4 linked regions of the Drosophila melanogaster genome follow. The protein of the gene in region 1 interacts with the protein of each later gene in a pairwise test. Each region holds a gene or a part of one and is shown in the gene's direction. Other genes may lie near its edges. The genes, in order: CG43861, kumpel, l(1)G0020 and Strump.

Evidence for each region.
Region 2: the proteins of CG43861 (region 1) and kumpel interact in a two-hybrid assay, tested with the Drosophila melanogaster proteins (one large-scale study listed by BioGRID).
Region 3: the proteins of CG43861 (region 1) and l(1)G0020 interact in a two-hybrid assay, tested with the Drosophila melanogaster proteins (one large-scale study listed by BioGRID).
Region 4: the proteins of CG43861 (region 1) and Strump interact in a two-hybrid assay, tested with the Drosophila melanogaster proteins (one large-scale study listed by BioGRID).

The regions. Positions count from the first base shown.
Region 1 is NT_033779.5:20,012,803-20,019,761, reverse strand, and holds the start of CG43861 (uncharacterized protein), read left to right. Parts: upstream 1-2,479; 5' UTR 2,480-2,942; intron 2,943-6,959.
Region 2 is NT_033777.3:25,904,471-25,911,611, forward strand, and holds the start of kumpel (kin of rumpel), read left to right. Parts: upstream 1-2,551; 5' UTR 2,552-2,659; intron 2,660-3,076; 5' UTR 3,077-3,192; coding exon 3,193-3,722; intron 3,723-5,556; coding exon 5,557-5,716; intron 5,717-6,232; coding exon of another isoform or gene 6,233-6,298; intron 6,299-6,404; coding exon of another isoform or gene 6,405-6,456; intron 6,457-6,651; coding exon of another isoform or gene 6,652-6,874; intron 6,875-6,933; coding exon of another isoform or gene 6,934-7,141.
Region 3 is NC_004354.4:8,715,494-8,723,605, reverse strand, and holds l(1)G0020 (lethal (1) G0020), read left to right. Parts: upstream 1-3,328; 5' UTR 3,329-3,440; coding exon 3,441-3,643; intron 3,644-3,702; coding exon 3,703-4,150; intron 4,151-4,210; coding exon 4,211-5,489; intron 5,490-5,549; coding exon 5,550-6,519; coding exon of another isoform or gene 6,520-6,523; intron 6,524-6,540; exon of another isoform or gene 6,541-6,659; coding exon 6,660-6,786; 3' UTR 6,787-6,893; downstream 6,894-8,112. Other genes in the region: CG1789 (uncharacterized protein), read right to left, coding at 2,163-2,372, 2,497-3,000; CG1785 (uncharacterized protein), read right to left, coding at 6,896-7,292, 7,355-7,771, 7,834-8,112. UniProt on the Drosophila melanogaster protein: RNA cytidine acetyltransferase with specificity toward both 18S rRNA and tRNAs. Catalyzes the formation of N(4)-acetylcytidine (ac4C) in 18S rRNA. Required for early nucleolar cleavages of precursor rRNA at sites A0, A1 and A2 during 18S rRNA synthesis.
Region 4 is NT_037436.4:16,119,222-16,127,675, forward strand, and holds Strump (strumpellin), read left to right. Parts: upstream 1-2,780; 5' UTR 2,781-2,872; exon of another isoform or gene 2,873-2,924; 5' UTR 2,925-2,965; coding exon 2,966-3,084; intron 3,085-3,140; coding exon 3,141-3,243; intron 3,244-3,302; coding exon 3,303-6,130; intron 6,131-6,190; coding exon 6,191-6,562; intron 6,563-6,624; coding exon 6,625-6,778; 3' UTR 6,779-6,831; downstream 6,832-8,454. Other genes in the region: Taf4 (TBP-associated factor 4), read left to right, coding at 1-179, 237-410, 471-596, 693-851; Pgm1 (phosphoglucose mutase 1), read right to left, coding at 6,916-7,054, 7,121-8,339. UniProt on the Drosophila melanogaster protein: Acts at least in part as component of the WASH complex which may regulate wash nucleation-promoting factor (NPF) activity and is required for its membrane targeting during endosomal sorting.

The DNA.
Region 1 (6,959 bases):
AAAACTCCGATCACCGATTAAGTCATCATCAGCACAGGGCCAGAAGACCGAAAGGAAATTAAGTGGACTCAGCGACATGGCCAAGATCGGCGGTGGAAACAATGCGTCGTCGTCATTACTGGCGTGCCCAAAACTCGCCTTGGGGTCAGGGTCGGGTTTGGACCTGGGTTCGGGATCGGTTTCTCGACTTCTTCGGCTTGACGGGGTCCATTGACGCCAGCCGAGCGCCGTTGGCGGGGCTCACTTAAAAACTAATAGAGATTTAATCTGTTTGACTTGCCAATGAAGTCATTTAGAATGTAAATATTGCGACGAGTACAGATGGCTAAAGCAGCGTTCTCAAATGGAGCGTTCCGAGTGTGCAAAGCCTGTTTTAAGCTGAATGGAAGATAGTCTTATCCATAAGGAAGATACTTCTAATCTATTTACTTTTCTACTAACATTGTGACTTAATATGAGGTTAGACAGGAAAACTCAATAGAAACTTGGGTTCATTGGCTACAAGATTGGGTTTCGTCACCTCACAAGACGATATACCTGTTATTATCCCCACTTCCTGGCTTGCAGTTCTTTTCTAACACCGATTGCATCAAAGTCCTCCTCCGCTCAAGTGGATTATGTTTCTTTTTGCATCTTGCAACTACTACTACTACTATTACTACTACTATCGCCTGTCCTGAGGCACCTGTTGAACCCACACCGATGGCCATATTATTTACCTACATCTCAATCTCAACCATAATCACAATATTTACACCTTTCTCCGTCGCTCTTTCGATGCTGGCTTCCGCTCCTCGATGGAGGAAACAGTGTTACACAAATGCAAATCAATTGTAAATACAAATAGAAAACCTGGCCGAAAGCAGTGGAGCAAAAGGTAACATTTACTATAAATAACAAAACACCGTTAGCCTGAGGAAATCTTCGCCAAAGTTGGAGTAGTAGATACACCTGAAAACTGCATACAATCGATGTAAAAATTTTATATATAAAATTTCTCGATGCTATACAAATGAAATATAATTTGGTAAGTGTCCTCAAGTTTTGAGTAAACTGTGGCTGAAAATGCACTTCTACTTGTTTACCTAAAATGTTGCCAAATAGTTAGTTGCACAGTTTTTCTTTCGGTATTGCGACTGCAACTAGAAGCCTTGCGTTTTCTTGCCCTGGTGTGAATTTATTGCTTAATCATGCGACTTTAAAACGGCACGGCTGGCAGGTAAAGGCAGCTGGGTTTTGGATTCGGTTTTAACAAGGTGAGTGCTTGTCCAACTGGACGCGCTCCGTTTTATTTTCTGGCCATATTCTACGGCATCTTGCCGGTAGAAGAACGAAGTTCATTTGTGACTGCAGCTCAGTGTCGTTTGTTTTATTCGCCGAGTGGATGATGAATATATAATATAGATAGATAGATATATAGATAGATATATAGATGGTTAGATAGATAGGTAGATAGATAGATAGATAGATGGTAAGATAGATAGATAGATAGATAGATAGGTAGATAGATAGGTAGATAGATAGATAGATAGATGGATAGATAGATAGGTAAATAGATAGATATATATAGATAGATAGATATATAAATAGATAGATAGATAGACAGATAGATAGATATACAGATAGATATAAAGATAGATAGATAGATAGATCAACCGATAGATATATGTTAGATAGATAGATAGTTTGATTGCAACCTGCCAGCATGTTCGATTCTGGGCTGGCATGTTGAAGTTCGATTCGAACAAGCTGGTGTTTGAGTCCAACAATCTTGGGCTTAAATTCTTCTTAAAGTATAAAATAACAATTCCCTTAAAATTGAGATTTAGAGTTTTACTTTTGAGTTCTGGCTAAACTTATTTTTATTAGATAAACAACAATCCTACTTCTCGAACCCTTGCTTCTGCCTCTGCGGTCATTTTCGTGACCAGATTCGGAATTGTGAATAGTTAGGTTGTGAGCTCTTCTAGAACAGCTGATATGCAAATATGATAGAGGTTAGAATTGACCATGTTTTGATTATTTATAAATCAAATCAAGTATTAATAATATCATGTGATGATGAATTTTGTCGATTTAAAAAATGTGAAAGTTTTTGTTAGGTATGTAAATAGCAAACTAATAACAGAGGGAAATTTAGTTCCGTGTAAATCTTTCGACAGAGAGTCTTAGAACAGGATGTCTTGGAAACTAAAAGACGTGAGAATTAAGAACAATGCTAAATAATTTTAAATGAAATATATCCATTAAATATTTCTTATTAATGAGATATTTAAATAAGGATTTCTTTACACAGTTCAGTATTTTACATCGAATTTGAATATCACTCATACGCCTGTGTTAAAAATTATATTTTCACCTGGTTAGGAAGGAGAAAAACTGAACGGAGGCAAGGCAACATGTTCGAATCGAACTCGCGATGCTTTCGCGCGGGTAACTAACTGCGAACATAAAGCTCACCACTCAGTCTAAAAACGAGTTTCAACGCGTTCGGCTGCCGACCCGCTCGATTTTTGAATTCATTTTTTGGCCAGGCCCACTGAAAAAAAAAAGAGAAAAAACCAATCGAAAACAAAGCCTCATTGCGCCCCATTAGGCAAATGCTAAATTAGTCCGTTGTGTAAAGGTGTAAAGCATTATTTTGTCGAAATTCGCCTGCCGCAACAAACCCCATTTGCTTGTGTTGGTTTAAGCCCAATTGTTTGGCCAAAGTACCGCGGAGTTTTGTAAAAATATTTCTGGAAAATCTTCCCCAAAGTGCAGTGATTGTGTTTGTGTGCTCGTATCGTTTGTAGAACGGTAACAGGTAAAACAACATCAACAATCCGAGTCCGAACGAGCGGCCGATGTCGGTGAATATAACCATTAAAATGAAGTTAAAGTCGCTCCCGAGCTGCATACAAATGCTGCTGTAAATAAGTCTAAACAAACACTTGCATTTGGTGAGTTTCAATTGCCTCAATGGGCTTTTTTTTTGGGTCTGAGGTCGGGGGTGTTGGCCACATGTGGAATAAATCATAATTAGTGGGGCTTAAGTCTCGAATTGGGTTATGGGTACAACGGAAACTTAAGTGTGGGAATCAGTGCTAGTTGTCTTTATTTGTGAAACTATTTCGAACTGCGTTAATTGTGGCCCAGTGGTTGCCGTGTATACTTATCGCATTAGCGCGCTCAAGGAGCTGGAAATAATAGATACGCTAATAGATACATATGTGGTTTTAAAATTGGAGTAGATATAAGAAATCAAAATAAATATTCAAGCTACTTTTTCGCTTTACCTTGCTTAACAGGTACTTTAAATTGTGTTTTGATTTTAATCAGATACATTTCTGACCATCTGCAAGTTTATACTAATCCAAAACTATATCTATATAACTATATAACTCCACACCAACTTTTCCCTTCACTTTGTGAACACATTTTTCGGGATTACATTCTAAACAGAATTTCCGTTAGTATGAACCAAAATGTAGCTACTTAGTTTTCCGTTTTATTTGTTTCATTTTCTACTGCTCTCTGACAATTTTTGTCGCGAAAAAGTTTTTGGGATAGAAAGTTTATATTGTGAGCTAATTTGAGTTTGCATGGATAAAAGGGTAGAATTACGTTATATTTGTAAGTGTACATTTGGCCATGTGAAGCCATTTACCAATTCCAGGTAGTACACATTGTAGTCTTGTTTAAGCCGTTAACTCTGGGCGGACTTGAGTTCCTTGACTCTCGGTACTGTTCTGAATTATATGGAAGCAACCCGCAAATTTTCAGTGCTTGTGGAAATTATTTTCCGACAGTTGCTAATAAACCTGCCTACTTCATGGGCACAGCTCGCAACGGTCATTACTCATGCCAAATCTTCTGTCACTTCACACCTTCTCCGTCTAATTCTACGGTCAACTTGTCAACACGATGTGAAGTGGGGTCTGTGTGCGTGAGAGCTCTTAAGCCTTATGCAACAGCTCAAATTAGCCATGCAATTTGTACTTAACTATTTGCAGCGTCTTGTTGCAAGTTGGGGTCTTGGGGAATCGAAATGGAGGCTGGCGACTGGGGGCTGGTGACTGGAGAATGGAGAATGGAGAATGGGGTAATGGCTTCCACAGGGCACTCGCTGCAGAGGCGGGAATAATAAAATGTCCAAGGACTTGGAGCGGACAAGCGACAAGTTTATCACTTGTTAAGCCAAACGCTGCAGACATGCAGCCGGCTTCATCCTGCACCATTCCTACCCAGACGCCCAGTCCTACTCCTATTCCTACTGCATCCGAGCACCCCGCTCCGGGAATCCAACTCTAGACAACGTCGGCGTCGAGTGGCAGGCCCAGATGGGCGCGGCAGATAAGGAACTGGGCCCAGACCCAAAAGAGCAGGCCAAGAATAGGGCGTTCTGGGTCCGATCCTATTTGCATGCCACTCGCTTGAAGTGGGCCACACTCGGTCCGGATGAAAGCGGATATCAGAATACACAGAGACAAGATGTGAAGCGTTTGTAATCCAAATCCATTTACTCATCCGATCTTAAGTCCTCCAGGGAGGAGGTAGGTGTACTTTAAATCCTAATCTGAGTTTGGCCTCATACAGTCAAAATGTATATAAGATAAAACAAGAAAAACATGCATTTTAGTGCAATATATGTTGGATAGTTTGCGAATACTGGCGTTCGTCACCAAAGTTTCCTGATTTATTTTCTGTGCACGATTGGATGAGACAAAGGAAACATATAAAAAACATTTATTATTAATTGGTGCGTGCTAGTATTTATAAACCTGCTTTACAATTTCATGTAAATTATTTCTTTTATTCGTAAAAAGCTAGCCATATTGCATTAAAATACATCCGAATTTTTTTGTTGCTCTACAAACAACTACAAAATAGTTAATAATATCTTTAGACTGCAATCACTGTTTGGAATAAAGTTTTGCCATCTATAAGCCATCAGGCAAATCGTTTGCTATTATATTCATAATCCCAATCTAAAGCCAATTGGATGCCATTTTTGAGTATCCTTAGGCAGCTGGGACTTAAAGTTGAGTCTAACGATATGGTCCCGACCTTTTCGGGAGTTCCTCGAAATGGGATATCATCCACAGCCCGTCGCCCAAAACGGAGGCTTTCGCAGACGCAGCTGCTCCTCTTTCATTTGGGCCATTTAAATAATGGCTGCAAATGGCTGGGTGACAATAAAGAAGACCGGCAGCCACCACAAGTGAAGTTACCCAACAAAGCAGACTTCGGCTATAAATAGTTGAGAAAAAGTCAGGAAACGAATGTCAACTGAAAAATTACGTATACGCAGACATCGATGCTCATCGATAGTGAGACATGGGCTCGCTTTCGTTTCCGCTGTTGAGTCGAGCGTGTTGACTTTTCATTTTCCAATTTTTATTTAAATTTTTGTCTGTCGAACGGCGTCACTCTTGTTTATGACCATTTAATTGACACGCTACCTGGCAGTCGAAGCTCTTCTGGGAATATTTCCATTTATTGAGGCCATGGGACATAATTGATTATGAACTGGGGAAATTGTGCCAGTCAATAAAGAAAATCGCACTGTCAAGATCGAGGAGACAGCAGCTTTAAATGTGTGCACATGTCTGGTTAGCATTTTGGAAAATTGTGTATCAATGTCACTCAAGTGCAGCGTCCTTCGACTTCGAAATTTGATCCCTTTCTAATTAAAATATCTGTCCTTAAATATCAAACACAATGCAAATATTATGAATGTGCAAATATGTCAACGAATTATCCGTCAGATTGTCAGTAAGGAAATCTAGGAAGTCATTCTAAATGAAATGTTACACTGGAAAACAATATTCGAGGAATCGAAGATATGCATTCAAAAATAGCATGTAAAGCAATAATTCAAGTTATCATTTAATTTTATAATTTTCAGCAATATATAGATTTATTTTCTAAGTGCACCAAACGAGCCATTAGAAGGTAAGCAATCAGTTAATCTACCTCACAACTCAAGAGCTACAATTGAAATCCTCTATTAAATCAGCTCTCCACTCACAAGAGCACTTTGTAATTAACTCTTACAAATCTATTAGAATAAACTTTCCCAAGAAGCTCGACCAATTAGTATTATTAAAGTGTTGTGCTGTTCGCAGGCAAGAGTCCCTCCATTTAGCCAGGCCAAAAGAACAGGTGGCTAAACAATGCTAGTCACTCCTTTGGATCTGCCCGAGGTCGTCACTTTGATTTGCACAAGGTATTTGCAGGGAGCAGCAACAATGGCATTGCTTTTACGCAACTTTAATTAGCAGGACAAACAAGCTGTTCTGACACGCCAGGAGGTAATACCTTTGACTACACGCCCACCCACCCCTCTCGTCCTTTGGATGGCGTTTTTCCCTGGCAACCGGACAACCGTTGACAAACGGAAGGTAGCGGGAGAAATGGCGGGGTTGTTGTGGCACCCAAAATATGCTAAACACAAAGTCAGAGTTGAAATTTAATTAAAATGTTGCTGGCAAAAGCATTGAACTGTGGATATGCAAAATGCTCGCTTTCAGGGCCCATGCTGCGTATGCGCAATTTTTTGCCTATTACCAGCAATTAATGCGGCTATCTTCTTAGGCAGCCTGCTAATTGAATTTTTGGTTGTCCCAAGGGCTTCTTTGAGTTTGGCAGTCGCTGACCCTTTTGTTTTTCCTCTCGCACGTGTCCTGCAAAATTGATAAGCCATAAATATTCGTTATGCCTAAAAGCAACAGTTTGGCCACACAGCATAAACATAAAAGGGATGCCAATGCCCCCAAAAACCTTCTTTTCAGCTTGAATTCTATCCCTTTTCTCTCAAACAAAATGCCCAACAAAGAGCACGAAAAGTTTTGTTCTTGCAAGATTCCATGTTATGCTTCATTAACTTAATGCTGTTTTCACAATAAATTTTCATTCTTTCCATTTCGGCGCTAACAAAGAGCATTTCAAACACGCTTATGCTAATCCCAAGGAAT
Region 2 (7,141 bases), on another chromosome or scaffold:
GATAGCCGGCCAGCCGAAGGAATAATGCATATTCAAGCTTTTCATTCCCATTTCATGGTTCTTGGCATCATCGCAACTCCCCCAAGGGCCAAGTTGATTTCTGGGCTTTCGTCTGGGCATAAATGGGCCCGGGTGGATATCTAAAAAAAAAAAAGGCAGAGCAAGATATTAAAACAGAGTCTGGCTTCTGGCTAATGGATGCTGGTAGCTGGCAAGTTCAAGGCCACGACTTGCGTGGGCGATGGATACTCCCTGGATCCGAATTTGGATTTGATTTAATTGGTCTTAATTTGTGGGCCGTGTAATCAATGGCACTGAATAGTTCAGTCTGCCAAGAAATACGAATGCGATTACTTAACTAGATTAATTGAAGTTTACATGGCAGTGTGCTAATTTTGGAATTGTGTTTTCGGCATTTAGGTAGAAATTAAAGTATTTTTTCCTCCGCGAAATGTTCTTTAGCACTTAGTCAACGAGGCGTGGCAAGTAAAAAACACACGGAAGCGTTAAATTGGCTCAAGTGTGCACATCGAAAAACACACACAACAACTATAAAGATATAAGAAAAGGAGGAGGTTGCGACTTTAAGATACTTACTAAAGGGTAAATTGGGTATACTTGGTCTAAGGTAAAGGAAAAGATAGGCAAACTAATAAAATAACTAAATAAAATAGGCTATATTGGCTATATAGGAAATATATATGGTGTTAACTGTTCCGAAATTTAGTTTACCCCTAAGCTTTTTAAATACTGGGTATAGAAATGAAAAAGCACACAAGAAAAACTGAGCCAAAGTCGGTTTTTCATTTTCGCCTGGTTTTCACTTTGCTCGTCGGTCGTATAAAAATAATTAAATTTTTGCCGCACTTTGTGGCATTTGTTTTGCTTTTTGTTTTCTGTTTTTCTTTTTTTCCAGCGCCACAGTTACAGTGGCCTGGTTTTATATTGCGGCTGACACTGGCCACTATCTATGAGTTAGTTTGGCTCCTAAATTTCACACATAAGTACTTTACACACGAATTTAAATCGGATTTTATCTTTTGCTTTATGGCTACGGTTACATTGTTCATCCCTTTTTTTAATCTTTATTATCTTACTATTGGTTTCCGTCTGGTAGCTAGTACGTCAGACTATATCTTTTTATAGAACATGTCTGAATATAAGTATTCACAAAATGGGGAAGCGTTACTATAACATGAATTAGTATAGACTACTAATCTGCACTATGCAACGTTATTTCGATTAATTCAGGGCTTTTATTTACAAAGTTTATATTTCCAGCTAATTCATTTGTACCTAATTATTATTATTTTTTTGACTTTTGCTCATATTTTAAGCTGTCCTTTTTGCACTACACCTAATAATAGAGAGCTCTTACTGCTGCCCCCTTCGTTTTTTGAAGGCTATCCTTCCTTACAGGGAATTAGCTCCGTAAAAGATTACCGAAAAGCCGAAGTCACGTTGTGTGCGTTTTGTAGGTTTCTGCAAATTGAATTTACCTCCTACATTCGACCCTGCAGCAGACGTAAGTAATTGCTGCAAATGATTGTCAAAAATCAATTAGTTGGTGTGCTGGCTATATATATATTATAGTACAATACCTTACAACATATTTCGCTGGAAATGATAGCCTTTGTGCAAGTGCAATCGAGTAATTGGCGCACAATTCCAGCGATGATATCATTGCCATTGTGCGCCCATTAATGTGCATTAAATCCAATAAAATGGCGTACACATCTGACTCGCTTTTCGGCTGTTTCTATGTATTTATTTATTGTGCTGAACTTTAACTTGATTTGCCTGCTAGTCATTGCCGATCGGATATGGCCATGCCAGCACACTTGGTTGGACATTTTCGTAAATTCGATTCTAGAAATCAAATTACTGCGAAATGGATGCCAGCATTGGTGAAATTCATGCTCGACATGGGCAGGCGCTTAGGGAATTTAGTATTAATTTATAGGCCCATGTACATCACGCATGTGTCACGTTTTAACCTTGACTGATCGCATTTGGTAAATATTTAGTATTCCTGTTTAATCTCCGGCGGACACAGCGATTTGGCTCACGCCCCAACGCCTGATAACCGTGTTACCTCTGGAAAAAATCCACATCACCATTCAATTTTTATCTAAAACCAGTAGCAGCCCGTTTGAGTCAGCGAGCTAAGCGTATTATCGTGGAAATTTACCCTTTTTCTTTTTTAAAGTTGTAAAATCCATTCCAAGGGATATGCATTTTTATATACAGCATCGCGCCAGGCAATAAAGCCACCGACGCGACACGTCCGCGTACAAAGAAAGTAATTTACTATCTGGCAGATCTTGGGCTGGCCAGAGATACACACCATCACACACCGAATGGGGGGTGTGCACATATGTGCGCTTATCTATCCAGATCCGACATGCCCCTGGCAATTTAGGCGATAAAGCTTTACACAAAGCCTCTGCCCACACTCTTACAAGATTTGCGTGAATTACGATCGGCCAATGTGACGATGATGCTGACTTGGATAAGATCTCCGGAGATTTCTAACGCAGCTTGCGGCGGAAAATTAGTTCAGTGCTCGGCGGTGATTTGGATCAAACACTTGTGTGTGCTCTCATCCAAATCGAATTGGAATTGTCCTGAATCCGAAACTCAAGGATCTCGAGAGCGTGTGCGTTATATATCGTCTTAAAAGAGACTTGTTAATATCAAACTATACTTTTAGAAGTGCTTTGCCCGACTTCAATTTCTGATTGCAATTAAAACAATTTTGTATAGCTTTTGATAAAGTACACATTTACATTAATAAGAGCTATTGTGATAGAATCCGTTGACCTTGAATACGTCTGCGACACTTGCGTTCTAAAGATTTAAAAAAATTTCATTTTATTAATAATTTTTTTTTATTTCTCTGTAAAGAAAGCGAGTTTTGATTTTATTTAACATTCAACTATTTTTTAATTACCTTGCGATTGAGAAGCTAGAAACTTTCGAGTGATTATCTTTAAAAAAAGCCCTTTAAGTCGGAAGTGGCCTTCTATTCGTAAAAACGAACCATACTAAACGCAAAGTCGAATTTAATTCACAGTGATTGTGCTCGTGTTAAACTAATGCAAAAGTAATCAAAGCCGGACACATTAAAGTGACGCGGCTGGAAGTCCATAAAAATAAACTACATAAAAGCAACTTGCGGTGCCGGAAATAATGTCAACCACTGCCGATCCCGTGGCGCTGGGGGTAAACTCCCCCGTGGAGGATGTAGTGGCCAAAACCACCACAACGGTGGCCAATGCGATTGCGAAGACAGTGGCCGTAATTAGCAGCACGGTCTCAACTAGCTCCACAACTGGCGCCACTTCCACCATTTCAACGAGTAGTAGCACACCCACTACCTCGACCACTTTCGCCTACACTCCCACGCCCACTCCCACTCAATCAGCATCCCCATCCCTGGAGGATGGTGAGGAGAAACTCAGCGTGAAGGATTTAAGCCAGGCCCTGCAGCATTTCGGTATTGTTGATTACTTGGTCTTCATCGCCATGTTGGCGGTCTGCGCCGTTATCGGCTTCTATTTCGGCTTTATCGAAAAGAAGCAAAAGAAACAGAAGCTGGCCGGCAAGGACGGCGGTGGGGCGGCGGGCGTCGAGGAGAGGCGTGGCTCGGAGGCGCTGGACTACCTGGTGGGCGGACGGCAAATGAAAGTGTTTCCGGTCGCGCTGTCACTTGTGGCCAGGTGAGTTACAGCTTCGGCTGGGGTATATATATGTATATGCAAATGGTAAATTGGCCCGGAGAATTTAATCCTGGCTGGCCAACGGGATGTGCACGGGAAACAATTTGAATACATTTGGCAGGGTTTCAAAAAGAAAATACGGATCTAACTATATTTTGTTAATTTAAATTTAAAAAAATGAGTTCAGCTCCAGGAGAAAAGAAGCTGATCAAAATAAGGATACTTTTTTGCCATTATTTTTCGCTGTGCAGACCTGCCTAATTACTTTTGACACGGCCGCAGAGAAGGTTGAGCATCCTAAATGAAAGTGTGACAGGAAGGAAGCTTGCAAATTTATTGAGCGATCCCGCTTTAAGCCGGCATAATCCGCAAAAATTGAATGCTATGCATTCGCTTGAATGCGGCTAATATTTGCACAAATTATCGTAATGGGCTAAGCCAAGCCCAGGCAGATCAATCAAAATACTTTCAGTCAGTTCGCCTTATTCCATGCCATTGGCCAAACGTGCGTATACGTAATCTAGGCAAAATAGATAATCTGGCCCAGCCCAGCATTGTCTGGCGAATTGTTTGGCAAGGGCAAACAGTGAAGCATTTTATTTAAAAGTTTCCGACTCCGGACAGGGCATTGCGTAAACAATATTCATTGTCAGGGTCAATGGATGATGAGTGCCTTGGTGTTATGTTGGTTGGTTGGATGCCTTTGGTTTGTGCTGATATTGAAATGGCTTGCGGAACTTTGCGAGTAAATATATCTGGCATATAAATACAACTTAGCAGCTCACTGTGTCTAAGCCGGATTGAAGTTATTTAAACTTGTGCTCGGCCGCAAACTCAAATAATTTGCCCAAATTACTTTTTCTTTTGCTGTTCGGACGGCCAAGTGACCTTGGTCCTGCGGAGTGGGGTGCCTTGTATTTGACACATTTTGGTCAAGCACCTTTCGAAGGGTGCGGTCCCTTTGTCTTAGCCGTGTGCTCGACGCATTAATGACCAGGCCGACAGGTCCTGTTCCCCGAAATCCTGGCCGTGCTCTTGGTCATTTGCCTTGCCCAATGACAATTGTTTCGTGAGCCTTTTATTGTTATGGCATTCTATTTGTTGTCGTTTGCTTTTTGCAACAAATTCAGCCAACGTGCCTTGAATTACAATTACATGGCATAATTTTTTTTCTTTCTATAAAACGCCCTTTGTTCCTTGCTGATTTTTTCAATTTTTTGTAAAACAAATTGTTTTGTTGTGTGTGTGTCTGCATACTTTAACGTCGCTTGTTATCAACTTTTAATGGCATTTTTCTCTCGGCCGTCAACTTTCTGTACCGATGGTGGCAATTCATTTTGTTTTGCGGCCAAAATTGAAATGATGATTGTTATGGACATTAATCATTAAAATCAGATTACCAAATGCAGGGCAAGGAAAAAGTTTTCTCCGCCAAATGCGACTAGACATCATTTGTTTCGGATTGGATTAAATTCATAGCAGCAGCACACATGCTTAATATATAATACCAAAATATTATCTTTACCATTCATAGCAAACAAACTTTTAAGATTCAATATGGTGCCATAATGCCCTTAACCTTCGCCAATCGATTACGTTAAATTTATTTTACAAAAGTTGGCCTACCTTCGTTATAACTTTGACCAACGACTAAGTGACCATAACTTAATTGAATTAAAAAATTTTGTTCAAGTTTGCTTTGCGGGATGGCAAAGATGAAAAAAAAAAACTTTGGCGGGGCGAAAATAGATCTTGATCAATCGACTGGCAATTAGCTGAACTTTAAGCTTAAGACATAATTAGCGTGAACTAATTGTTGGTATTTCACTTTTAGCTTCGTGTCTGGAATCTCGCTTCTGGGAACATCAACGGAAATCTATGTATATGGCACGCAGTACGCCTTCATTCTGGTGACCCTGGCCATTTCGGGAGCTATTTCGTGGTATATATTCCTGCCTGTATTCTGCAATCTCCAGCTGACATCCACCTATGAGGTAAGCCGAACGTTGTCCAATCCAAGTATATTGTGTGTGTTTACCTATTGAACTGCATGTTACGCATTAATTCTATTGGTTTGAGTATACGAATTTGGAATCTTTTGATATTCGACGGCATGTTAATGTGTAAGTAAGGCCAAAGCCCAACTGCGAGCAGGGAGTACATGTTCGGTACGAAAAAAAAAAACACGGGACAAAATCGGTATGCAACCAGCTGTAAGAACTCTTTGTATGGCTGTTTATTTGCATGCACGAGGTTGTGGCGCACAAAGACAGCTACAATAAGCCCGAACAATACCAATTGTACGAGCTGACAAACGGATAGTCGTAGTTTATAAGTTGGTGTTGGCTACATGTCGTATGAGTAATAGTCGATTATGTATGCGCCGCGTTGCCGCACACACACATTTACGAGACCACTGCGTGTGGCAGTGGGTGTGTGTGTATATTTGAGCAATCCTTACTGTGTGTTAAACGAAAGACAACAAACCATTGGGAAAAAAATATTTACAGTATTTCGAGATGCGCTTTAACAAATCTGTTCGTCTGCTGGGATCCGCCTTCTTCACGGGTGCAAATGTAAGTCTAATCCAATTACAAGTGAAGAGAAAATCGTTACGTTCCTTCAGATCCTGAAGGAATACTTTTAAAGCAATTTTGATGCTAAGTGTTTTTTTTTTCTTAGCTTATCTGGCTGCCCATCGTCATCTATGTGCCAGCGCTGGCTTTTAATCAAGGTAAGATTATCTTAGAGCATCGAAGTAAAAGGGGTACAAGTTTTAAAGGGACCTTAAAGAACAAATATGAAATTTAATGGTCTATAATACGTACTTATTGTCAAGAACCCTACATAGATATTACAATGGGATAATTGTAATCTTATTAATCCGGGCTCTTAGTTCCACCCAGTAAAGGTTAAATTATTTTTCCAGTTACTGGAATAAATATCCACGTCATCACTCCAATCGTATGCCTCGTCTGTATATTTTATACAACGGCTGGGGGGCTGAAGGCCGTTGTCTGGACAGATGTGATCCAAACCGTCATTATGATAGGTGCGGTTATCTTTGTCATCATAAAGGGCACCCTGGATGTGGGCGGACTGGGCGTGGTTATTCAGCGGAATTTCGACAGCGGCCGAATCGAGTGGCCTGAGTGGGTAAAAACTAATTAAGGGTCTCGACATATATTAAATGAAAGTAATTTTAAAACAGATTTACACTCGATCCCAAAGTTCGCATGTCCATGTTGGCCTTGATGGTCGGATGTGTTGGCCACAATTGCTACCAGTTTGGCTGCAATCAAATGATGATCCAGCGATACATGTCCCTTCCTGGTGTAAAACAGATGGCTCATACATCATTCATTTTTATTGTCGGATTGGTTCTATTGTTTTCACTCTGTTTGTACAATGGACTCCTT
Region 3 (8,112 bases), on another chromosome or scaffold:
GGTCACGTGACCGCACGTGTCCCGCCAGTTGACCGCCCATCCAAAAACCGAAGTCGACACCCCCGATAAGGAGTAAGGGCGTCAGGAACTCGGCGACTGGGCCGCCGTGATAAGCGCAACCTGACAACTCAGCGCGTGTTCCTGACTAGATGTCACAGACCAGGTTCAGTAACTCTTGGTCCCGGGACTTCTGCAGTTCTGCAGTTCTTGAGTTTTGAAAGTCTGGGAGTTCCGCTCTGGGCGAGGGCCGCCTATCAGCGCGTGTGGATCTGATCTGGGATGAAAGGGACTGGTCCAACCTTCCATCATTGATGGTTTTGTTAGCGTAAATATCTTAATTCACCGCTTCGCCGCCCACGACACGCGTGAATCGTGTGCATTTGACATGGGAACCGCTTTCCTTTACCCCACTTCGCATTCGCGGCGAAAAAAATATTTCACGCAATTCATTCTCACACACACACACACACACACAACGCGATTTAACGAGCTTACAATGAATGCTTAATCCTGTTTTGGGAACAGGACTCCCAACATGCTCATATCCTCTTTTTTGTGGACTGCAACGTGGGAAGTTATGAATCATTGGAAAAGTGCGAAATGTTTTAGATAAAATCAATTTATCCATATTTATAAGTAATCTACATGGATATGGTGGTCTATATAGCCTTTGAATGAATCCATTTTATATTCCTTCACCAATCCTTTTGCAGCATATGTAATATTAAAAGTCAAAGCAATGAAATCCCTTTCCCAAACACAAAATAACCATATTTTATGTTTTTTTTTTTTATCATTATATGAAACAATCATTTATAAATTACCCACCAATCGTTATTAGCTGGGGTTTGTCTTTGCCATTCTGTAATTATATTCGTTAAATTCGGTTTGAAGCAAACACTTAAGCGCGAATTTGCTTTGTCCATTGTCAGGGGCAACTAATATTCAGGGAAACCTTGACCTGCCCGCCCCCAGATGGGTAAACAAAAATAGAAACGAAACATACACTGCCACCCCAGTTGCATGCATATTCATTCGGAGCAGTCACACACATGTGCCCACCGCAATCACAATACCATTTCCATTCATTCATACCCAATACCATTTTGCCCGAACCCCTCGCAGTTTGGCAGTTAAGTTTCAAATTACAAACCCAATTGATGCTAGTTAAAAAATCTGTGCAGGTTTTGCGTTACCATTCGGACTCATCCTCAACTTCATCCCCGATGAGCCCGGTTTGTTGTGATGCACTCGTGACAAGTCCGATTAGGTTAGCCGTACACCGCGGATCCGATCCGATCCCATCCATCCCATCCCATTCCCATTCAAGTCCCTTCCATCCCCTTAACGCCGGTCTCTAGCCATCTATTGTTGTGGAAAGTGTCAACATAGCGATCTATTTTATGCATAATTTGGCGTGCCAAAATGCGCGACTCATCAAAATGGTGTCATATGTTTTTAATCGGGGAAAACAAGGACCAGCAGGCAAACAAAAAAGAAAAAAAAAAAAGAGATACGGGGAGTGTTTGCCCGGTTGTCTGTCGCCTGCGGTTTTCAATTCGAAAAGTTGCAGCCGGTTGCTTATTTTTACAAAAGACAAACATAAAAAAGTTACATTGAATATTGAAAACTTATGTTGCATACACTAACTTGCAAGAGCACATATAAAATATTAGTCTTGAAATGTTCCTCGGAGATAAGAAGAATGAATTTAAAAAATAAGCTGACTTTTTAAATAAAACATTACAAATGTTTAAATTCAGTTTGAAGTTGGGGTCATGACTTGGCTAAGCGTACCTAACTTAACGAAACTCGCACTAAATTTGGTTTGTGCCCTGGAAAGATCTAAATTTCGTTAAATATTTAACGAATCTGAAAAAAGCGTTTAGTCGAGTTACATACCCATTCGCTTTTACTTTTTCTTGTTTTTTTTCGGTATATATTATTCTATTCGGTATATATAAATATTCTGATCAGAACATTCGAATTAATGACCCAAAACTAGGATGCCATATCTCATTTAACTTGTTACTTGCATTTGAATTGCATTCAAAATTGGGAATTATATATGTAATTCCTTAATCCAAAACAATAAAAATCATAGTTTTGTCAAAAGTCTTCAACTAACACTTAATTGCTTTATTAACTAGAGGGGAAATATTCTATTTCTTGCGTTCGTAGCGGAATTTGTAGACGGGCGCACTGTCCTTGGTTCCCGGCTTTATTTTCCTCGGCTTCAGTAGGCGTGGCTGCTTGAGGGTGTTCTTCAGCTGAATCTTCTGCTGGACGATGCCGAGTTCCCTTTCACGCTGCTCGCGTTTCTTCAGCTCGTTGATGCGCTGCTGTTTGATGGGGTTTGGTTCAGTTGTTTTCTACAAAAAATTTAAAGGCAATCGTTACACACAAGTAGAATCATAAATCATAAGTATAATATCAATTATAAATTAGTTTCTCACAAAAGCTTACAACCTCGTTGGTTTTAAAGAGGTGACCTACCGATTTCTTCTTCTTTTCCTCCTCTTCCTCCTCGTCATCATGCTTTAAAAGCCATTCGCCCATGTCCAACTCCATGTATCCGTCTTCGTCAAATTTGATACGTTTGTTGGCTGCTCCCTTAATGGCATCCACGTCCACCAGCGAGGCCTTCAAGCGTTCGATCTTCTTGCGCTCCATGGTGCGCTTCATCACCACGTACTTGAGGTCCTGCGTCTGCATGAGGGCCAATTGCTCGGGCGTGTGCTCGTCCTTCGTGTCCTTCTCGTGGTGCTCATCGTTGGACAGCTTGGAGTTGATCATATGGTGGTAGAACTCATCGGGATTCTTGTTCTGCGCCCGGCGGTACAATAGCTTCAAGGTCTTTTGCTTTTTCTGTGCGTCGATGGCTCGCTTCTTGTAGTCCTTTTTCTTCTCCAGGAATCCCAGATGCTGGCGCGACTCCGGCTGGTGGCGCTCCCTGTGCACCTTCTGGTTGCTTTTCGACGCATTCTTCCACGATGACATCTTCAATTTATGCTAATCCTCGACAGCAATCAAATATGTTCTGTTTTGATAAACGTGCGCTTGGGGAATTAGAGATGCACAACTACTCGATAAATGTATCGCATTGACTCAAAACATCGAATGTGGTGTTAATCGGGAATTTTTAAAAAAATCTCATTGGTAGAAATTCAAGCTGCCTTCTTGAAGACATCAATACAAATCCCACCCGAATTCTACGATTTAAGACTTCGTGTAAACAACATTCATGTGCATTTCACAATGGTAATATGATTGACGATTTCCGTGACATTGTAAAGTAGATAGTTGAGTCGCGACTATCGACAAAGCGCCCATCTCTAAACCGCACACGTGCATTTTGAACGGGCAACAATTTCATTTGCATTATTTACTTCGGAAAACCGGAGTTTTTAAGTGAAAAGTGAACGCAGGAAAGCCGAAGCATGGTGAAGAAGAAAATAGACAACCGGATACGCGTGATGATCGAGAATGGGGTCAAGCTGGGCCACCGAACCATGTTCATCGTCATCGGGGACAAGGCGCGCGACCAGGTTCCCATTCTTTACGACATCCTGACCAAGTCGACGGTCAAGGCGCGACCCACGGTCCTGTGGTGCTACAAGAACAAGGATGAGGCCATCTCCAAGTGAGTATCCAACTGTAGAACTATTACACAGAAACTCAGCTAACTAGATACATTTTTAGTCATGGCAAAAAGCGAGCAAAGAAGATTGCTGTGGGCAAAGTGGATGTCAATGAGGCGGACCTGTTCGATTCCTTTCGAGTGGCCACCACCATTCACGGCAGATACTACTCCGAGACGCACGCAGTCCTCGGACGAACCTACGGCGTGTGTGTGCTCCAGGACTTCGAGGCCCTGACCCCCAATCTTTTGGCTCGAACTGTGGAAACGGTTGAGGGCGGCGGTCTGATCATCCTGCTGCTGAAGACACTGCAGTCGCTGAAACAGTTGTACACCATGAGCATGGATGTGCACAAGCGATTCCGCACAGAAGCCCATCAGACGGTGACCTGTCGATTCAATGAGCGACTCATTCTCTCCCTGGCGGACTGCAAGCGCTGTCTGGTGGTCAACGATGACCTCACCGTGCTGCCACTTAGCTCCAAGACCATCAACGTGGAGCCAGTGAATGTAAGCTGATGCTTGTAAATCTTCTAAAGCAGCTAATACCATTTGTTTCTAAACTTTCAGCCCGCAGGCGCCGGTCGATCGCCCAACGAGGCTAGCCTCAAGGAGCTGAAGGAGAGCCTGCTCACAGTTCAACCAGCAGGAGCTCTGGTTAATCTCTGCAAGACCTACGATCAGGCCAATGCCGTTGCCCAGTTCATTGAGGCGCTGGTCGACAAGCAACTGAAGCCGCCCATGTCCTTAACAGCGGCTCGTGGTCGTGGTAAATCGGCCGCCCTGGGTCTGTCGATTGCCGCCGCCGTCGCCTTTGGCTATGTGAACATCTACGTTACCTCACCGCATCCGGAGAACTTAATCACGCTCTTTGAATTTGTGCTCAAGGGCTTCGATGCCTTGGAGTACCAGGAGCATGCTGACTACACCATTATACGCTCCACCAATGCCGACTACAAAAAGGCGATAATAAGAATAAATATTACGAGAAGCAGCAGGCAGACCATTCAGTACATAGCTCCCAGCGATACTCATCTGCTGAACGCAGCCGATCTTCTGCTGATCGATGAGGCGGCTGCCATTCCTTTGCCGCTGGTAAAGAAGATGATCGGTCCGTATTTGGTATTCATGGCCAGTACGATAAATGGATACGAGGGCACTGGCAGATCGCTGAGCTTGAAGCTCATTTCCCAGCTGCAAAAGGATAACAATGCAAGGCCGCCACTGAAACTGGAGGAATCGATTCGGTATCAGGAGAACGACGACATAGAAAAGTGGCTGATCAACCTGCTGTGCTTGGATGCCAGTACGGTGCCGAGTATTAGCTCGGGCTGTCCCACGCCGGATGCTTGTGAACTGTACTATGTGGACAGGGACGCCCTGTTTTCGTATCACAAGGCTGCCGAGGCCTTTCTCCATCGCCTGGTCTCCATTTATGTGTCCTCGCACTACAAGAACACACCAAACGATTTGCAGATGATGAGCGATGCCCCGGCGCATCATCTATTCTGTCTACTGGGTCCGGTTCAGCGAATGGACGCCCTGCCAGAGATATTGGTGGTTATCCAAGTGGCACTGGAGGGTCAGATCTCCGCCCAGAGCATCAGCGATTCCCTGGGCAGGGGCAAGAAGGCGGCGGGCGATCTGATTCCCTGGAACGTAGCCGAGCAGTATGGCGATCGAGATTTTCCCAAGCTGTGTGGCGTTCGCATTGTGAGGGTAGCCACGCATCCGAATTACCAGAGGATGGGCTATGGCAAGCGGGCCATTCAGCTGCTCAAGGACTACTATGCAAGGAAGCACACTAATCTGGAGGACGGTCCAGTTGCCAGCAAGGATGCTGGTAAAGGTGAGTGCACGCACGCCAATGGTTTATTATGCACTACATAATACTTTAAATTTTGCATAGGTATCGAGGAAGTGGAGGAGGAGGAACTTAGTCTGCTGAAGGAACAAATCCGGCCACGTAGTCGTATACCCACACTTCTGCAGCGCTTGCACGAACGTGTCCCGGAACACGTGGACTATATTGGCACATCCTATGGCCTCACCACCGAGCTGCTGAAGTTCTGGAAGAACGCCGGCTTTGTGCCCGTCTATTTGAGCCAGAAATCTAACGAACTGACCGCCGAGCATAGCTGCATTATGCTGCACACGCCCAATGCCACGCCCTGGCTGGGCCTGTACTACCAGGACTTCCGCAGGAGAGTCCTCAAGTTGATGGGAAAGACGTTCAGGGAATTCGAGACGAAACTCTGTTTGGCCTTGCTGAAGAACAAGTCCGTGGACACGGAAGGTAGTGCACTGAAAGTACTCGATAAGCCAATGCTGGATGTTTACTTCTTGCCGCACGATCTGCAGCGCTTGGAGAGCTACGCCCGCCAGCAGTCCGAGTTTCGTCTAATCATCGATCTGCTCACGGACATTGCCCAGCTGTATTTTCAGGGCAGGATCGATGGTCTGCAGCTTGACCTGGTGCAGCAGGGCATCCTTTTGGCTCTGGGCGTGCAGGGCAAGACTGTGGATGCGTTGGGTCTGGAGCTGAATATGCCGGGTAACCAGTTGTTGGCGAAATTTTTCGATGCCATGAAACGGTGCAATCAGTGCTTCCGGTCGGTACTGGAGGAGCATATCGAAGGCGGCATGCTGCGGGAGGCGGATCTGTCCAAGGGCGAGGAACTGCAACCGCTGACTCTGTCCCTCGACAAGGAGCTGGATCAAACCGCTCAGAAGCTGAGCAAGCAGCAGCGCAAGGAGCTGAAGCGCCTGAAGGCCGAGCAGCTGGACGAATTCCAAATCAAGGGCACCGAAGAGGATTGGTCCAAGGCGCTGGAAACAAACGGAACAGGCGGTGGCAGCGGGCTGCTCTCCGTCAAGAGGTAGGTGCGCCTATTTTTTTTAATAATGTGCTTAATACATAACCACGTTTATTTATTTGTCTCCAGTTTCGTTTTATTATAAACATCACTCAGTTAAAAAAAATATAACTTATTTCGTATTTGCCTCTCTTTCGTTTCAGTGGCGTAAAGCGACTGGATGGACCAATCGAGACGCGTGAGGATGGCGACCTGGCAGCTCCGCTGTCCAAGAAGAAAAAGAAGAACAATCCGAAACAGAGACGCAGTCAGGGCAAGTCCCTGATCTAGAGTTCATAATTTTTTTCGTTTGGGGGGAAAAAGAATGTGGATTTTAATTCTATAGAAAAGTACATATTGTTGTAAGCTCCGTTAAAAATAAAGAGACCTAATAACTGAACTATATCTTGATATTGGCAGTAGCCTTGGCTGCAGCGGCGGCCGCCCTGCGCCGTTCCTTGAGGTCATTATAGCTAACGCCCGGCTCCTTGTGGGAGTTGCGCTCGAAGCGCTTGACCTTGGACTTCTTGCGGCTGACGAGCTTTGTCGTGGGCAACATATTGTTGCGTTGCAGCGTGTGGAAGCGGTCCTTCAGCAGACTGCTCTCAGTCTTCACGTTGCGCAGATTTCCGGCGATATCCTCGGGCAGATTTACGTCTAGGTCTGGCTCCTCGAACTTGTGACGCCCCAGGCGTTTCGGCTCAAACTTGGCCTTCTCGGCGCGCTGCTTGCGGCGCTTCTTTAGATCATTCAGGTCCTCCTCCTCATCGTCTAGCTCGTGGCGAATCGATTTGATGCTGAATGAAGAAACACAATAGAGATTAGAGATGGACCACAACGCCATCAGTTAGAAACTTACCGTATCAGGTCAGCCGTCTGTTGCTTGAGCTTCCTCTTGAGCTCTGTTTGACGCGCCAGCTCCTTTTGCTTGAGCTCGTTGCGGCGAGCCTGCTTGCTCTTCTTTTTGTTCTCCACGGGAGCGTTGATTGTGTGATATGGCTTTTCATCATCGTCCTCCTTTTTCTTCCCATTCGTTTGGACATCCTCATCGAGCTCACTACCCTCCTCCTCGTCCATGCCTTGGCTCATTTCATTTAGGCGACGACGATCTCTCTCCTCGGGCGTCACCTTGGAGAACATGCTGGTGGTCACGCGCTTAAGGTGCTGTTCCTTCTTAATGATGCCCTCCTCGCGTTCCACCACCTGATCAATAAGCGCCTGATGATCCTCGGGTGCGGGATTGTAGCTCATGCCCGGATGCGGGAGTTCGAATTTCCTAAAAGACATATTACAATCAATAATAACCCGACTGCTTAAGGCCCAGCAAAGTGTGCTCACTTGGCTTTGGTGGTTTTGTGGTGCAGACTAGCGTGAGTTTTCACCACCTTCTTGCCAATATTTCCAGCTGTGTGCAGTGCCAGTTCGCGACTGATCCAACCCTTCTCGTCCTTGAGTCCAGGAATCTCGTCGCGAAAATCCACCTCCTGCCAGATGTCCTTCTCGACATCAAGCTTCTTGTTCTTCTTGTCGGCCAGACGCTGTTCCAGTTTTACGTAGTACTGAGCTCGATCGCTGTTGGCCTGGCGATGGCGCGGCTTGGTTGGATTGCACACCTCC
Region 4 (8,454 bases), on another chromosome or scaffold:
AGGTATTTCTCAATCTCCCCTCGCTGCAAGCTAGAATACGGGCAATTACTTCGGAGGCGGGACTGGATGAGCCGTCGCAGGATGTGGCCGTTCTGATATCGCACGCCTGTCAGGAGCGCCTGAAGAACATCGTTGAGAAGTTGGCTGTGATAGCGGAGCACCGCATTGATGTCATCAAGGTTTGTTGGAAATGGTTTTATATTCAAATGAAAATATTGATTTCCTATTTCTTACAGTTGGATCCACGCTATGAGCCCGCCAAGGATGTGCGCGGTCAGATCAAGTTTCTCGAGGAGCTGGACAAGGCCGAGCAGAAGCGACACGAGGAACTGGAGCGTGAGATGCTGCTGCGGGCAGCCAAGTCACGGTCGAGGGTGGAAGATCCCGAGCAGGCCAAGATGAAGGCGAGGGTGTGTTCGCAATCGTCTTTCTCTGTAGCCGTTTACTTAAGTCTTTCTCTTGTTGTTTAGGCCAAGGAGATGCAACGCGCCGAAATGGAGGAGTTGCGTCAACGAGATGCCAATCTGACGGCGCTGCAGGCGATTGGACCTCGGAAAAAGCTGAAGCTAGACGGCGAAACAGTCAGTTCGGGAGCGGTATGTATGGTGCAATTATACAAAAAGATAGTGTCTAAAATTTAGGATAGTTGACTACCAGAACGGTTATTAATTAAGCTGTGTTTATCCAAAAAGGGTTCAAGTGGCGGCGGAGTGCTAAGCAGCTCGGGATCTGCGCCGACGACGTTACGGCCTCGCATAAAACGTGTGAACCTGCGCGACATGCTCTTCTACATGGAGCAAGAGCGGGAGTTCTGTCGCAGTTCCATGCTGTTCAAGACATACCTCAAGTGATCGCTGCTGTTGCCCATCAATCGCACCGTCTTCTCCTCGCCGATCCTCCTACTCCGTGGACTGTCGTGTTGTTGTTTTATACAGCTTTACGATTTCATCCACTTGCAATATATTTTAGCCTCAACTTTAAATGCGTCGCGTGTCCCCTGTTGTTGTTTCTTTTTAGTTAGGCGGCTCTATTTAATTTCTATTTTTACATTTATTTACATAAATCCTAAATTCTAATCGTATTTGATTTTAAGCCTAATTTAAAGCTCGTTTATTTTTCCAATAAATTCTCTGTAAAACTTAAACCAAACCAATCCAAAAACAAAACAAAACCAGAGTAAACGAAGAGAATAAAATAATAGAGAGGAAAGTAAAAGAAGGTAAAAGAGAGCGCGCAGTCAGCGGGCGTTTGATTTGTAATTTGTAACATAATAATGTTTGCATCAACTGCATTGACGGCCTTATCTAAACGATATAAACATAATTATTAATATTTAATTATTTAGCTTAGTTTGTTAAACGAAAACGAACCATAATTCCTAGATTTTAAGTAAAAAGCAAGGGCGCGTGAAGAGAAATCGAAACCGAATTACAGATAAAGGTTTTTAAAACCAACTAGATCGAAACAAGTTCAGCAACAGCAAAACAAAAGAACACATCAAAAAAAGAACCGAAAAATATCCATTTAAACATCCATTGAATTAGGTTTAGTTGTTTAAAAAAGATGTAATTTTTAATTACCCATAATGTATAAACGGAAATCAATCGTTAGGCAAGACCACAACAAACCCAACAAATTGTAAATACATTCTAGGCTACGGTTTTTCTAATAGATAACTAGGTAAAAACGCAAACGTAATTAACAAATTATCGATGGCAAGGAGCGATGCGAGCGCAGACAACTTGGCACACCGAAAAAATATGTTTTTATTAGTGGCGCTCGTTCATCCATTAAGAATGGCGATTCATTAGGCTCCATAGATCCATAAATCCCCTAATCCAATCTGAACTACACACAAAATAGACAAATTTTATACAATTAGCTCGATAAATCTTGTAAAATAGAGTCCCGTAAAAAAATTATAACAAATAAATTGACAACAATTGATGTAATTCAGTAAACCTAAGCAAAAAGTGAAACCATTCTAAGCAAATTCTTTGTGTGTAAAAATTAATATGATAAACAAAATGCAGATGCAACCGTAAACAGCGCATAGTTTGGTAGGCATATAACTGAATATATATATATTATTATTATTATGTTTTAACATTAAGCAAAAAAATAAAAGAAAAAATTGAGAAAACTTCAACTGAGCACGGAGAATTATTAGCTGGGAATATGCAGAATTTATTTTAGTGCGCAGTGTTTGCTTATGCATATTATTATTTTATGTCGTATGGAATATGTAACGGTATCTCAGTTAATTAGCTAGTTAAATCATTACAATTTATGTAGTTGAATTAATTAATTTTATTAATATTTTTATATTCATTTATTATGTTAATTAATCCTACTGAAACTTTGTGTAGCTCCCATAGAATGAAAATCTAACACAAAATAAATAGAACCAAATTCACGTTTGGATTCAACCAGAAACACATAACGAATTGGCAATTTTCTTAATGTCGTATTACAACTTGCTTTCTTTTTTAAATTTTAAAATTGAAATCGTGAATCTAAAGTCGGAAACCATTAGATCTTCCATCATTATTGCACTTTAATGCATCGAATAGAGTTATTAAGCCAATATTATAATTTTATTATTCAATACAATAGTAGTTTCATATCTCATTTTAATAAATTTAATAATTGTTATTAAATTATGTACCTCATAGGTTGTTATCATCAGTTTCTCACTTCAAATTTATGCGCCAACATTTCGAAGTTCATGGTAACTCTATAACAACAAAATAGTGTGACCGGACTTATGTAAGATTACTGCAGATAATACACTAGTGCAAAAAAGAATTGATATGACTAAATGAATAGACAATATAAACAAACAATAACATAATTCGTGGACTGATAAAAAGTATGTACAGCTTTAATTAATAATGTGATTATACAAATTAAGCTTTCTCCAGAGAGGCATTTGTTAGAATCACAGAAATCAAGGAAATGCATAATGAGTTTTCTGGATGACAATAATGCCTGTGGGCAGAATCTGCTGAATATAGTGTCGGTGGGTAATTCTATAATAGCAGAGATCCTGCGCCTCAAGGACTACGTGCCCAGTATTTATAGGTAACATAGATTAAAAACCTGCAATTAATGAATAATTGGTGACCACTCCTCCCCAGATTGGACAACAAAGCTGATAAGGCGAAATATGGCGAGCTTATTCTGGATTTCAGCTACTTCAAGATAGCCGAAGATCACGAGAGGAGGATCGAACAAAGTCCGGTAATTTGATGTTAATATACCCGAGACCACACCGTATTAAACACCCTGATTTCCTTCAGGAACTGACCGAACTCGATGATGAGGCACGTGCCCAGCTTCCGCTAATCACACGATTTTACCTGGCCTTCCAGAGCATCCATCACTATGCCTCCGATCTCCAGCAATATATCGAGGAATTGAACACTGGCTACTATATCCAGCAGACGCTGGAGACGGTACTTCAGGAGGAGGAGGGCCGCCAACTGCTCTGCGAATCCCTGTATCTCTTTGGTGTGATTCTCCTCATGGTCGATTTTCACATTCCGGGGGATGTGAGAGAACGTCTGCTGATCGCCTACTATCGGTATAGTGGAGGAGATGCAACGCCTAGCGGAGACGAGAGTAATATCCATGATGTTTGTCTCCTGCTCCGATCTACGGGCTATGTTCATCCGTCGATTGCCGCTAAAGTGCTCGGTTTGGGTGGCAAACAGGCAGGCGCTAGAGCTGCTAGCCTTGTGGTTCCCCGATACCCGGAGGCCTACTTCTCTCGCTTCCGTTTCGATGAGAATTTCGTGGATCTAGTGGTGGCTCGTCTGCGGTGCGATGATATATACAACCAACTGAACCTGTATCCACATCCTGCCCATCGCTCCACGGCTCTGTCTACTCAGGCGGCCATGCTGTATGTGTGCTTGTATTTCTGCCCGCAAGTTCTTCATTCCCAAGGCTCACAGATGCGCGAAATTGTGGACAAGTTCTTTTGCGACAACTGGACCATATCCGTGTACATGGGCATGACAGTGAATCTGGTGGATGCCTGGTTGGATTTCAAAGCCGCTCGATCTGCTATTGAAAATGTGATAAGTCCACCGGCAATCAAAGCACTCTGTCAGCAGCAAAAGGAGCAATTGGGCAAGATCACTCAAAAAACCCAGGAGATTGTTCGTGAAGGAGTTCTAAATGACAACTTTGTTTTGGAGCACGCCAACAAAATCATACACCTGATGAGGCAATCCAATGTCCTGCTCCGCTGGTTTTGCCTGCACACCTCAAGGGAAGTTTTCATCTTTGCTCACACAGCTACTTTGACGGGTCAAGTGCAAAAATGTGTGCTCCACGAACTACAATTCAATCGGAATACGCTGTATAACTTACTGCTTAACTGCAGCCAAATGGAGCTGAGCGTGAGGGAGTTCCTGGCAGAGATTCAGCAGACTAAGGAGGAGCGCTGGACGAAAAGCAGAGAGGAGGCCATGCAAAGGCTCAATGAGTTGAGCGAAGCCTTTGCCGGCTCCAGGCCTTTGTCCAAGATTGAACAGAATCCTCAGTTGCAGCAATGGTTTGGCGAAGTTGCTGGACGTCTCCAGAAACTGGAATTGAGCAGGCCCCAAAAGTCCGGAAGGCTGATTATTCAGGTGATGCAAGCACTGGACGATGTGCAGGAGTATCACAACCTTCATTCCAACATGCTGGTGAAGCAGCAACTACAGGAGACGCGAGACATGCTCAATCAAATGGCACAGCTAATAAACCTGAAGGAAGACATTGAGATTCACATCCAGATGATCACTGACTTCAGCTATGCTTGGCATCTACTGCAGTTTGACTTCACTCCTCCCATGCAGGAACACATCAAAAGACAGCCACAGGCGGTAATAGGTATACGAGCGGTCTTTCTCAAGTTGGCCAGCACCCTGGAGGTGCCGCTGATGCGGATCAATCAGGCCAGAAGCGAGGATCTGGTCTCTGTGTCAAACTATTACAGCACCGAGCTAGCAAACTTCCTGCGCCGCGTTCTGCAAATTGTTCCAGAGACCATGTTCAGTATTCTGGCTAAGATCATCTATCTCCTTACGAATGTTATCAAGGAGTTTCCCACTAAAGTGGAGAAGGAGCGTCTAAAGGACTATGCCCAGTTTGAGGAGCGGGCCAAGGTGGCTCAGCTTACAAACTCCATTGCTGTTTTTACGAAGGGAATTCTTATGATGAAAACAACTCTAGTGGGAGTAATCGAGCTGGATCCTAAACAACTATTGGAGGATGGGATACGCAAGGAGCTTGTAAATCATCTGGCAAATGCCTACAATCTGGGCCTAATATTTACGCCCGAGAAAGGCAAGACTCCTGTGCAGCTTCTTCAACAAAAACTGCAAGCTCTGGCGAAAACAATAGAGGGATATCGAAGATCCTTCGAATATATAGAGGACTACTTAAGAGTTCAGGGACTTCGAATCCTGCTGGAGGAATCGCAACGCATTATTAACTACAATGTGGAGAAGGAATGCAATGCCTTCCTCCGCAACAAAGTGCAGGAATTTCAATCGGAGCACCAGAGCCAGATCATACCCATTCCCAACTTTCCACCGCTGTTGGGAGATCCGTCTAACAACTTCATTGGCCGTCTGGCCCACGAAATTCTGCGGTGCACAGATCCCAAGCAAACTATTTTTCTGGATCTAAAAAGCACTTGGTATGAGAAGAAGGCTCCTCACCAGGAAGTTCTTGCCGGCTCTGGATTCTTTGAGATACTTAGAGAAGCCTTGGCTCCGGCAGGAATGGTGGGATTGGAGCGCCTCTACGCTCACATGTTGGCTGATGAGTTAAAGCGCAACTTGGAACGGTTACAGCGTAACCTGACCTCGGATCGTATGTGGGTGGATACGTTAGCGGCACTGACTCGGGAATTGGAGGCCCGGGACTTCCCAACTCCGGAGGTGTCCAAGCAGCCTTTGAAGTATTATCAAGCTTACACCCAACGATGGCTGAAAGTGTGGCCCACGCTGTTGGATTGGGTTTTGTGCATTGGACAGAAGCAGCTGCTCCGCAGAGAAATTGCAGGAGAGCTAAGCTTTAGCAGTAAATGTGATGCCAAGTTGCTGGAGAACACGGCGGACACCCTGAACAAGTAAGTCAAACTATAACATCCTAAAAATATTTATATATTTGCAATCTCTTCCGCAAACAGAGCCCTTTTACTAGAACTGTCTCTCAGCAAGGATCTCTGTGATGAAAAGGGTGTGGTCATGTTGACAGAACTGCAGGAAACCCTGCTCTATACGGGAAACTTTGAGCCCCTAGAGCAAGTCTTCCTTATCACAAAGAACACCCATAACATGGCCCTCTTTATGTTTCTTTTCACCATTGCCCATTTGGGTCGTATGCAGCATTCCACGATTACCGATTGTCTGTTGCCAAAATCAGCCAAAGATAACATTGATAATGTGCCTTTTATTGTGGGTCTAGTAACGATCTTGCAGCAGTTCCACAAGAATGTCAAGATGCTGTATATATCCTACATGAGTCAGTACGTGGTGACTGTATCGGAGGCTCAGTTACTGTAAGTACTTTAGTTACAAGATAATCCACGAATATCAGATGACATACACTTTTCTTTATTAGGGATAAAGAAATCCTGGGTCCCGAGGTGGTCACCGCCCTGCACTTTCTTCTAGCCTTTATACGCATTGCTCGTTTGCCACTCGGAGTTCTGGAGCAGCGCATTCCCAACATAATACTTAGCGAGTACGAGTATTTATCCACACTGCTAAAATGAAAACTAACCAACAGGTTTGGGCTACACAAACTTTAATAAATCCGAAACATAACAAGGAAATGCCTCGCTGAGGTACAAGAGGAGATTGTAGTTGGATGGGTTGGTAATCTCAGTGTTCCTTCGCTGACAGGAACTCTTTACGTGATAACCGTTGGAGCGTTGCGTCCAGTGAACTTGGGCAGCTGAGAGATCTCCAGGGCGATGTCGATCAAGGGTTTCAGCATCACGCTGGCCTGGCCCAAAACATTCTCCTTCTCATAGGAATCAATGTACAAGCTGAAAAGGAACAATTCATCTATTATTGAAAAGAATTGTTTGATATTAAATCTCATCGTGACTCACCGAACGGTTGCTCCCGAGCTTCCAGTTCCACTGAGGCGCACCACAATGCGGCTGCCATCCTCGAACACAATGCGCAGACCCTGTTTCGTGGCCACCGACTTGTCGACAGGATCTGTGTAGCTGAAGTTGTCGGCCTCCTTGACCTTGTAGGTTTTTCCGCCGCTGGAATAGCTCTTGCCGACGAACTCCGGAGCAGTTATGGTCTTCTCCATGGTGGCCACCATCTCGTTGCAAGGATCGGAAGCGCACTCCTCATAATCGTAGCGGGTGAAATAGTTGCGTCCATACACAGACCAGTGCTGCTTCAGGATGTCTTCGATGCCTTTACCCGTGTGCTGCATCACGGAGATCCAAGCGAGAACCGCCCAGATGCCATCCTTTTCGCGGATGTGATTGGAGCCAGTTCCGAAGCTCTCCTCTCCGCACAGACACAACCTTCCGGCGTCCATGAGATTACCGAAGTACTTCCATCCAGTGGGAACCTCAAACACTTCCTTGCCCAACTTTCTGCCCACCAAATCCACAGCGGATGCAGTTGGCATACTGCGGGCGAATCCTTGAACACCATTCTTTTGGAAGTACGGTATGGCCTCCAGGTAGTGGGCAATTACCGCCAGCGAGTCGCTGGGAGTTACGAAGAACGCCTTGCTGCCAATGATCATGTTGCGGTCACCATCTCCATCGAAGGCAGCTCCAATGTCATAGTCTCCCTGGGCGACAGTGTCAACCAGGTCCTTGGCGTATGTGAGATTTGGGTCAGGATGCAGACCACCAAAGTCGGGCAGTGGAGTGGTGTGGACCACCGATGATTCGGTGGCACCCAACCGGTTCAGGAAGATCTCGCGCACATATGAGCCAGTTACTCCGTTCATTGCATCGATGCGCATCTTCAGAGGCTTTCCAGTGGCTTTGCCACTTACGAAGTCCTTCAGCTTGGCGAAGTCGAAGATTTCCTCCATGTGGCGCACATAGTTGGCCACCGAATCGATCACCTCCACGGTAAAGGGCTTTCCGGCGATGTCGAACGAGGTTACACCAACCTTTGAGATGTCGATCTGCAGGTTGCGCACCAGCTTGTACTCCTTGATCTCGGTGGTGATCTTGTAGATGTGGTTGGTGAACGCATCCGGGGCAGGTCCTCCGTTCTCGCAGTTGAACTTGATGCCGAAATCATTCTCTGGACCACCGGGATTGTGGGATGCAGTCAAAACAATGCCGCCTATAAGGTTTAAAAAAGCATTTTTAAATCGTGTATATTTTTTAGTTGGGTGTGCCTAGGCATCTAAAACAATTTTATATTCCAAAGAGGCCACCTTTAATGTGAATAAACTGTT